Linked DNA regions of Tribolium castaneum. The protein of the gene in region 1 purifies or fractionates together with the protein of each later gene. This does not show direct contact. Links are inferred from orthologs where the notes say so. Each region holds a gene or a part of one and is shown in the gene's direction. Other genes may lie near its edges.

What was found.
Region 2: the proteins of ksr (region 1) and 14-3-3epsilon purify together in Homo sapiens (affinity purification with mass spectrometry; 3 studies listed by BioGRID and IntAct, with this or other methods). This does not show direct contact. The link is inferred for Tribolium castaneum from reciprocal best matches to the Homo sapiens genes KSR2 and YWHAE.
Region 3: the proteins of ksr (region 1) and Cdc37 purify together in Homo sapiens (affinity purification with mass spectrometry; 3 studies listed by BioGRID and IntAct, with this or other methods). This does not show direct contact. The link is inferred for Tribolium castaneum from reciprocal best matches to the Homo sapiens genes KSR2 and CDC37.

Annotation. Positions count from the first base shown.
Region 1 is NC_087399.1:8,297,731-8,301,388, forward strand, and holds part of ksr (kinase suppressor of Ras 2), read left to right. Parts: intron 1-932; coding exon 933-1,226; intron 1,227-1,290; coding exon 1,291-1,679; intron 1,680-3,658. UniProt on the Homo sapiens protein: Location-regulated scaffold connecting MEK to RAF. Has very low protein kinase activity and can phosphorylate MAP2K1 at several Ser and Thr residues with very low efficiency (in vitro).
Region 2 is NC_087401.1:11,229,109-11,232,866, reverse strand, and holds the start of 14-3-3epsilon (14-3-3 protein epsilon), read left to right. Parts: upstream 1-857; 5' UTR 858-960; coding exon 961-1,024; intron 1,025-3,758. UniProt on the Homo sapiens protein: Adapter protein implicated in the regulation of a large spectrum of both general and specialized signaling pathways. Binds to a large number of partners, usually by recognition of a phosphoserine or phosphothreonine motif.
Region 3 is NC_087398.1:2,273,053-2,276,329, forward strand, and holds Cdc37 (hsp90 co-chaperone Cdc37), read left to right. Parts: upstream 1-1,160; 5' UTR 1,161-1,287; coding exon 1,288-1,320; intron 1,321-1,367; coding exon 1,368-1,658; intron 1,659-1,705; coding exon 1,706-1,984; intron 1,985-2,059; coding exon 2,060-2,548; 3' UTR 2,549-2,661; downstream 2,662-3,277. Other genes in the region: queuosine 5'-phosphate N-glycosylase/hydrolase, read left to right, coding at 1-851; Spase25 (signal peptidase complex subunit 2), read left to right, coding at 2,978-3,013, 3,106-3,171, 3,219-3,277. UniProt on the Homo sapiens protein: Co-chaperone that binds to numerous kinases and promotes their interaction with the Hsp90 complex, resulting in stabilization and promotion of their activity. Inhibits HSP90AA1 ATPase activity.

The DNA of each region.
Region 1 (3,658 bases):
ATTTATTATTGCAGACCAGAGGAATTAAATAAACAACAACAGCAAGTGACAGAATGAATATTTACTCATTTGAAAAAGTTTAAAATTTGTGCTTATCATAGAAATATTAAATTTTCTTCAAATTGAACCAAAACAATGAGGAAAATTTAGAATAAAGCGATGACATTAAGTCGAACACGTTAAACATACAGTCATAGGATTTAGATTTATTTTTACCAGACGAAATAAAAAAATCTTGAAATTAGTTTAGTTTGAATTTTTGAATTGAATTTGCATTTGAATTTATTTGCAAAGTTCTAATTGAGAGATTAAAATTATGTTCGGTTTGTTACGTACAATATTTTTTAAATGAAACAAACACCAGAGTAGCATTTTATCAAAGTTGATTTAAGATGATCCTCTCATTTTATTAAATGAAATTAAAAATACATTATTACTAAACATTTTCAAAGTTTTTGTTATTTTATTACAGAATTCACTTTACTTTAAAAAGAGAAGGAAATTTTTGGTGTTCAAAAATTGGAAAATTCTATTTTCAACTTTTTTTTCTCTGGCTGAAATGAGTCGCTAACTCGCTCGGAATTAGTCGATTGTTTTTATTTCGACCTACTTGGTGACCTTTAGCTTCAACATAATCTCGCAGTGATTTCTGACTTAAAATCAATCTAAATTCAAACGAATTTTTTCTTTGATGGTGGAAACACTTAGGGACATCTGAAGGTATTTTTAAAAATTCGTAGAATCTATGCGAATTGTGTTCGGCTCTCAAGATCTTTTTAAAAAAAAAATAATTGTTTTTTTTTAACAAAGAACGATCGTTAGGGCATTTGGTGTGAGATATATTGGAAAGTGTCCGCCTGAAATTTGGTGGTTTAGAGATGTTTGAAATGTGTGGAATCGCCCCGAAGTTGTTATATGTGCACGATTTGTAGGAATGAAATTCCCGACAACGCCGCCGGCCCGCCGCAAGCACCTGACCGGAATTCAAAATCCAGTATTGTTGTCTGAATCGTTCCCCTTAACCAAAAGCAAATCGCATGAGTCACAATTGGCAAAGGGCGATAACGGTGAACTACCCAGCGGTGAAAAGGGTTCTGGGAAGCGGTCAAGGTTACCGACTGAGCCAGGACCTGACACTGATTACACAAGTCCGATCCTGACCAGTCCCATCAAGTCACCCCCATATAATAACACCGGAACCGATAGTGACGACAATAGTTACAAATGTGAGTGTCAACAATTGCCACGTTGCGGTACGGTTTCTAATTTAATATTGACGACGTTTTGTAGCAGCGCCGAGTCTCCAAGTGCCCAAATCACCGAGGACACCGACGCCGGTGGGGCGCAGCATGGCACATCAGATTAATCATAGGTTTACGAAAACGTTTAAGATGATTGCGACGTGTGGATATTGCCAGAAACCGATCTATTTCGGAGCGGGATTAAAGTGTAAAGAGTGCAAGTATACTTGCCATAGGGAGTGCGAGGATAGGGTCACACCCTCTTGCGGATTGCCACCGGAATTACTCGACGAATTTAAGAAGAAATTGTCGTGTGAAGTACAGGTTTTTCCCTCGCCTAATCCGAGCAGGGCTAGCAATACGAAAAATATTATCAATTCGCTCAGGATGAGGAAGAGGTCGCATCCGCAGCCTTCGATCAACATTGCGCCGTTTCCGGTACGTTTTTTCTTATTTATGGTACAGTATTTGGTATTTTTATGCGGTTTTCAACTGTCTGGGAGCAATTTATTTATAAGATAGAAAAAAATTGCTTCAGGTGATCAGTGGAGAGGCGAAGGGCTGAAGCATAATGAAAATAAAAATAAAATAAATAAAAGATGGAAGCTTAATGCTGTTTTGTTTTGTTTAATTAATAATTATTTTTCTGGCTTGACAACATGCTAAAAAGCTTAAAAAATGCTATTTGTGACCTATTTTAGTTTTTATTGTTTTAAGTATTCGAAAAAGGCAAAGATTATATTATTTTTAATTCATTTAAAATATTTTTGCAATTTTTTTGAAAACAAAATCGCTCGTTAAAAGCAAAACTTACAATACTTTCCAAGTTTTTTTACATCACATTAACGAAACTAAATATTATTGATAATAATAATCATTAAAATTATATTTCAAATGTTAGATTGTTATATCATATGTGTAAATAATATGATTTTTTGAAACCTTCTGTGCTCAAAAACCTGTTCTAGCGTTTGAAAAAGACAAAAGTAATACTATTTTCCATTCAACTGGGGTGATTTTTGATGAATTTTTTGATTATAAACGTTCTAAATCGCAAAAATAGTAAAATGATATTATTTTATGTTCAATTTATTGATTTTTCAGTTCGGTTTAGCAAAATTTCGCAAAAACTGCGTGTTTGTATCAGTAAAAATTATAGATAATAATCATTAAATTAAATTTTAAATGATAGATTTTTATATCAAGAAATCTAAAAAATGCTTAAATAATATCATTTTCGTCCATTTTTTTGATTTTATTAATTTCGTTTTTGGACAAAACCTGTTCTAGCGTCCGAAAAAGGCAAAAATGATAAAATTTTCGACCCAATTCGGATGATTTTTGAAGGGTAATTTTTGATTAAAAACGCTCTATTATAGTAAAATATTATTTTTGATCGAATTTATTGATTTTTCAGACCGGTTTAGCAAAAAAAAAACTGCGTTGTTTTTTTCAACACTCGTAAAATGCACAAATTGGCGTCATTTTTTGCTTAACTTTGAAAGTTTTCGATTAATTTGTTATAAAATTTGACCGAACAATTGCGTTTCTAACTGAAAATATGCAGAAGCACCCAAAAAAGCGAAATAATGTACGTTTCAATCTAATTTAGTGATTTTTGACTGATTTTTTAGATTACTTGCGAAATAATTGGGATTCTCATTCTTTAATTGAGTTATTAAATTATGCTTTAATGATATTCATTAGGAAATAGACAAAATTATCTCACTTGAATATAGACAATAATAATAAATAGTAATAATAATAAAAGTTAATTTAGTGCTAGAAAGATCTTATTCACACGTCAACAGAATACATGAAATACATAATTAGTATGTAATAATAATAATCAGAGAAATCTAATCACTTGTTAAGGAAAGCCCTTGACAACTGAAAATATTCATCTTTACTGCACAAAGGTTTCGTTAGAAGAATTTTTTAACAACTTTTTCTAATGTAATTGTATTCAAAAATAAAAATAAAATGCACTAACCTGGCATCTTTTGCTACAGTTTGTAGCAAGTTCATCGCATTATCTTCTTAAGAGAACCTATTGAAATAAAAAACAATGAAATTAGAACATTGTGCTTTAAGTTAGTTAAAAATATTACAGATTTAAAGTGAAAGAAAGGAAAGTATTGTAAACTGACTAACCCTTTAATTCGGATTGTTTCCACTTTTTCTCGTAAAAACCTGATTTCAATTATGAGGCGTGCGCTCGCGTCAAGAACAACTAACAAACTGAATAAAATTAAACGGCAGAACAATAATTGTGGAAGAAAATGAATAAAAAGTCACCATCAAAAAATATAATCTGTCAGATAACAAATTGTTAAAAGGTGTGAAACAAAGAGGCTTGGCCGATTCATTGATAGAAAAATATAGAGGGAGATGTATTTTTAAGGTGTAGTCGCTGA
Region 2 (3,758 bases), on another chromosome or scaffold:
TTTTTTACTTTAATAACCGTTCACAAAATTTCTAGATTATTCACACCTTTTATGTGAAATAATTTTTCCATGGCCAACTGCTTTCAAATATTTTAAATATATTTTTTATCAAAAATATATAAAAATATCAAACTGTATTTATATTATTTTCAGTTTAAAAAAAAATAAGCTTTTCGAAAATGTCATAGCCAACTATGATTTCTATTTAAAGAAATACAACTTTATGTTATTACAGCTAAACGATTTATTAAAAAAATTCACTGATACCATAATTAAATTCTCTATAAAAAAAAGCCATATAACGTCTTTGTTTCAAATGTCTATATTTTATAATAAGGAAGATATAAATTTTTTAACATTTGGCCAAAATATCAACTTTTGTTTATAAGTCGAAAACAAAAAACTATAGCGAGATGCGGTTTTGACCAAAATTATTTTCTCAAAAAGCGGACCGGAAAATGTGTCTTGTTTTTCTCTAAACCTTTTAGTTTCGGAAATCCCCTATTTGTGCATAAATTTTTTATCTGTATTTTTAAGTGGCCTAAATTGTTATTTTTGCTCTACTTCTGTATAAACACACTCAGTTAACACCAAAGTAGCCGTAAAGCGTCTTCTAATCAGTGATTAAAATTTAAACTGGCATTAGTTCGTAAATCTGAGCATCTGATTGGTCCAATTCCCCTGATCTGGAAACGACGCTTCTAAAAACAGTCCCTTATTGTCAATCGAATGCTGTCCATTAGGACGCATAATTTAATTATTGTGGCATGCAGTGTGTGAAAGATAAGCAGGATTAAATAATTATTTATTCAATTTGGCGCCATTGTGACGTGGGCCGGAGGCAGCCGATGTGCGTCCGATCGCGTTCGGGTTTAGTGTGGCGGGCGCGGCCATATTGGCAGTACGTTGAGTGTCTGTGTTTTTTAGTGTTGTGAAATTTCTATCGATAATCATCGCAAAATGTCTGAACGGGAGGATAACGTCTACAAGGCGAAATTGGCAGAACAGGCCGAACGTTACGATGGTGCGTATATTTCCCCCCGATTCGGCCTCCTCCCGGCCCAAACGGCCATCATCTCGGGACGCTCCTCCATTTTCCGCCGCGGGGGTGCCCCGCGCCCGGGCGGCGGCGGGGCTGCGCCCCCGTGTGCATTCCGCGCGGGTGACTCATCGATCGGCGCCCGGCCCCGCAGCCCCCGCCGGAAAAAAGCCAAATGTCAGAATTTTCGCGACACCGGCCCACTGCCTATTGCGTAACTTCCGGTTTTGCACGTGCGTCACGTGATGGGGGTGGCGGATTCTGCCCCCGACCTTGTCCCATTTGCGGCGGAATTTTACGCTGCATTTTTAAAACGGGATTGATTTTTGAGGGCGGCCTGCACAGGGGTCGGGGGTGGCAGCGCGACGGCGGCGGCGAATGCCAATCGATAATCGCAGAGAAGAATGAGGATTTACCGAAATTACCAACAAAAGATGCACGTCGGGGGCGGGTAACTTGACTGCGAAATTTAGGGGGTTTGGGGGGTAAACATTTTATTGAATTATTTGTTCGCTCACGAAACGGCGAGACGTAAAAACGGGAGAGTTCTTGCCTAAATTTTTCATCGCGTCAATTTTTAATACAAACGGTGAATTTTTTACGTTTTACGTTACACAGTTGGCATTTAAAAATCACTAATAAGTACAGTCAGAAGGAGTGAAATTGTCGATACAATGGCCTACTTGTTTTAAAATTTAAATGCAACTAAAGTTATTCAATTTTTAATTTTACAAAATAGAAAGTAAACAAAGTCGATGGTGTTATCACAAACAAACACAAACTGTTGACAGTTTCGTATGTCGTCAAGTCCTTGAACTTAAATTATTGCAACGACGAAATTAGTTTTTTTACTTTGTCAACAGTTAACAAAAAATGCGTCAAAAATGTCACCGGCTTTTACATTCAACATTTGTGAAATATTAATTAAGCCGGAAATGTACCAACATTGCGTTTGGCTGGTGATTCATCCACCTCACCATTTTTGTCGAAGTTGATAGATATCGAAAAAATGTGACAAGTTGCCATGTTTGGACAATTTTATTGCATTTGATTGTACATTGTTTTATAACAGGTTGGATTAGTTTGGACAGTTTTATAGATGTAATTTAATTCCCGGTAATTCACCGAGAAACGATAATTCATTTTTATCAACTGATCGATTCTCTTATCAATAAGGGAAGACTGAGTTGAATGTCCTGTTTAAATTTCAAGTTTGTGTTATGCTCGATGAGTAATCAAATAACGTGATGTAAATGATGAGAAAGTACAAAACGCATTTTAATGAACAAATGTGTTACGAAAGCGAAAAATTCTATTGAAAATTGAAACACCGATTAATAAACGCCTTTGCTCACTGGAAACCAGCCTTCGTTTTTTGAGAAAATAATTTTAAATCTCAACAGAAGTTGACATTTTAGCGAAATCTTAAAAAAATCATATCTTCCTTATTATAAAAGATACACATTTGAAAAAAATACATTATACAGGCACTTTTTTTCAGAGAATCTAATAATGTTATCAGCGATTTTTTTCAACCATTCGTTTAACTGTAATAACATAAAGTTATATTTTTTTTAAATAGGAATCATAGTTGGCAATGACATTTTCGAAAAGCTTATTTTTTTCTGATTTAATGTCTATTTGTGTCATACGTTAAATTTAAATAATTAAGAAAAAACAAAACATTTCGCTTTTTCTTTATAGTTGGCCATGAAAAAATTTTGGATTTGTAATTAAAACTATGAAAATTGTATTACCTAACAGTAATTATAATTTGATGATTTTTTAAACCCTAATTAATTCAAAAACAGCATAATAAATTTTTATTAGATCAAATTTTTGCAATTAATAAAAATTATTTGTTTTTATATAAAATGGCAAGCTTACGTTGTATTTCTACATATTTTCAAATTTTAAACATGCAATGACGGAAGAAGAAAAATCTTATGATTGCGCATCAATAAAATTTTATTTTACAAAAAAATGACAATTCAAACTCCAAAATCAAATTCCACCTGCAGTAAAAAAATATACAACATTATCAATGTCACCTCCATTGCACTTTACTAAATCATAAAAAAGTGACATCAAATGGTAGTGACATATCGTTTGCTATTTTCTGTACATTTTTTATGTAATTAAAATCTGCGACGCTCGTATATTTATTCAATTGAAAATAACTTTAACATAGCTTATTTTGATAATTTCACATTTTTTACTTTAAAAACCGTTCACAAACTTTCTAGATTATTCACACCTTTTATGTGAAATAATTTTTCCATGGCCAACTACTTTAAAAAATTTAAATTTTTTTTATCAAAAATATATAAAAATATCTCACTATATTTATGTTGTTTTGAGTTCAGAAAACAATAAGACAAATAGACATATCAAATCAGAAAAAAATAAGCTTTTCAAAAATGTCATAGTCAACTATGATTCTCATTTAAAAAAAATACAACTTTATGTTATTACAGCTAAACGAATGATTAAAAAAAATTGCTGATAACATTATTAAATTCTTTGGCAAAAAGTGCCTGTATAATGTCTTTGTTTTAAATGTGTATCTTTTATAATAAGGAAGATGTTTTTTTTTTAAGATTTCACTAAAATGTCAACTTTTGTTTATAAGTCGAAAACAAAAGACGATAGCGAAATGCGGTTTTGACCAAAATGATTCTCTCAAAAAAAGGACCCGAGAATGTGTCACGCGTTTTTC
Region 3 (3,277 bases), on another chromosome or scaffold:
GTCAAGTGAAACTGCACCCAAAATCCGACGATCCCAAAGCCCTTGACTGGTTATTTGTCGTGGACACTCTGAATTTTTGCTTCTGGCACTTAGAAACCGAAGCTGGCTGGACTGTGGAGGGCTACACTGGTTATTTTGCCCTTTGTGCGGCTATTAATCGAGCCGTGAAGGAAAAAGTGGATATTTTGAACTCGAAATACTACTCTGAAGTGTCCGAAAAAGACCTTGCGAAAATATTCAGAAGCGACAACGATGTCCCAATTCCACTCCTCCAGGAACGCGTCAAATGCTTGCACGAAGTTGGGAACGTCCTTCTTGAAACTTTCGACGGTTCGTTTGAAAATTGCGTGAAAAAGGCTGACAAGAGCGCTGTGGCCCTTCTGGACCTAATCGTCAACAATTTCAAGTGCTTCAAGGACGAAGCGACTTACAAAGACAAGAAAATTGCGATTTACAAGCGGGCGCAGATTTTAATTGGCGACATTTGGGCCTGTTTCAAGAACGAAGGACTTGGGCACTTTAAAGATATCGATGAAATAACAATGTTTGCGGATTATAGAATCCCACAATCTCTCCTATATTTCGGGGTGTTTGAGTACAGCGAAGATTTGAAGAAGAAACTGCAAGACAACAAAATTCTCGAAAACGGGGAAGAGGACGAAGTGGAGATCAGAGCTTGCTCCATCCATGCGGTCGAGCTGCTAAAAGAACATGCCAATAAAAAACTAACTGATACGAAAATCAATGCCATTTTGATCGATCACTTCTTGTGGGACTTCAGACGCGAACATAACAAGGAAATCGTGGAGAAGAAGTTGCCGTTCCACAAAACGTTCTCCATTTATTACTAAATCGAACGACAATATCAAGTTAAAATTGGAGTTGACCGAATCAATGTGCTAATTTATTAGTAATTAATCGAAAATTTCAGGGAGCGGTTGGCCATGAAACTTTGATATGGCATTTTGGTGGTAGTCATGGTTACAATTGTTACAAACCGAACCGTACTTTTTCATTGCCAACTATGCTGTCATGTTTTATTTCATATCAGTAATTTTTAAGATTAATCGTGTCAATGTTTTTAAAGTTAAAGTATTAGATTATGATTGAAAGAATATTCTGGAATTTTATTTGCCCTCGTCTCCCTACCCATGATCCTCTGCCGACGTTTCGCGAAAGCCAGCCAGAGGGCGGAGGAGCAGCAAAGTGACGTTTGTTGTTTATTTCAAAAGTGCAAGTGTTTTATTGTTGTATTTTCTTGGAGGAATCAAAATTCGCATTGGCGTCATGGTCGATTACAGCAAGTGGAAGAATATTGAGGTAGTGAAGTCTGGGAGGAAAAAATGAGGTTAGGTGGTGCTTTGCAGATTTCCGACGATGAGGATGAGACGCATCCAAATATTGACACCCCTTCACTTTTCCGGTGGAGGCACCAGGCCAGAGTTGAGCGCATGGAAGAAATGAAGAAAGAAGCGGAAGAAATCCAGATAAAGAGGGAGGAAAATGCTAAGAAGGTCTCGCAAGCCAAGCAGAAGCTGGCGGAAGCCGAGAAGGCCGGAGATGCGAATTTGAGGGAACTTAAGGACGCTCTGGCCGCGCTGGAGAAGGAAATGGAAGCGATTAAGAAGAAACAGGAAGAACACGAGAAGAAAGAAAAAGTTTGTACGAATGTTAGTTCTTCTAATGTTTATTTAGTGATTTACAGATGGCCCCGTGGAATGTGGACACAATTAGTCAGCCAGGTTTTGCAAAGACTGTTATTAATAAGAAAGCTCCGAGACCGAAGGACGAACAATTAACGGATGAAGAGAAGGAAAGTCGCATGAAAAATTTTGTAAAAGAAAACGAGAAGAATTTGAAGCACTTTGGAATGTTGCGACGTTATGAAGACTCTCGGGCTTTTCTCAGGGACCACCTTGAATTGGTTTGCGAAGACACAGCTAATTACCTCGTCATCTGGTGCATCAATTTAGAAATGGAAGAGGTAAGATTGTGGCAAAAAATGTATATTGGCAACACTGAGTTGTTGGGGTAAATTATGTATTGTTCTTTTAATTAGAAACATGACCTTATGGAGCACGTGGCGCACCAGACCATCTGCATGCAGTACATCCTAGAACTAGCCAAACAATTAGACTACGACCCTCGCGGCTGCGTGGACCCCTTTTTCTCCAAAATCCAAATAGCTGATCCTCTTTACAAAAAATCGTTTGACGATGAATTAGACCAGTTTAAGGAGAGGATCAGACGACGCGCAGCTGAGAAGATTGAAGAGGCCATAAAAGAAGCAGAGGAGGAGGAGAGGAAAGCGAGGATAGGGCCAGGAGGGTTAGATCAGCTTGAAGTCTTGGAAAGTCTTCCCGAGAATTTACGAAAATGTTTCGAGACGCAAGACATCCAAATGTTGCAAGACACAATCAAGGAAATGGATGAAGAAGAGGCCAACTATCACATGAAGAGGTGTGTTGCTGCGGGTCTTTGGATACCTGATGCCAAAAAGAAGGAAGAAGAAGAAGCTGGGCCTTCTGATGAGCAGTCAAAACCCTAAAGTCACTTGCTTTACAATTTTTGTTATTTAGCCTTTATTTCCTAAGAATGCAAATTTATTGTATTAATTTATTAGGAATGCTTGAAGATTAATAAATTTCTTTACTTTATAAACTTGACGTAAACTTTCTTATACCCATCCCAATTCCCGCATTTTCTCTCACTGACTTAAATTAATCATCCACTTGAAAAAAATAATAGCCAAACGAATTTACAGTTTCAGTGGCAGATATAACAATCAACGTTATTTAAAAAAAATATTTGGTAAAACCCGTTCTTTTGAAAAAGCGTAGTTACTTTTGTTCACCGATGTTGGTGTATTTTCGCGTTTCCCATATTTCGTGTTCTGACGCATCACTTGACGTGTCGCAACAACAAGACACGACAACACCACATAAAAAATTGAAAATTTAACCAGTCAGTTAAGATTATGGCCCCAAAAGAAAGCAAAGAAAAGGATGATAAGGTACAGTTTAAATGAATGAACACGTAATTTGCACGCTTGTTATTTAAATACGGAAAAAATTGTAAATTTGGCTTCATAACCTATTGTTGCAGCCTGTTAAAATAAATAAATGGGACGGTTCAGCTGTGAAAAATGCCATAGACGATGCAGTAAAAGAAGTGAGGTCCCGTGACTCCCTGTTCATTGTTATAATAGTATTTTTTAGGTACTTACTAAAAAGTATCATTACGTAGAAAATTTTAAATTGATGGATGGGCGCCTTGT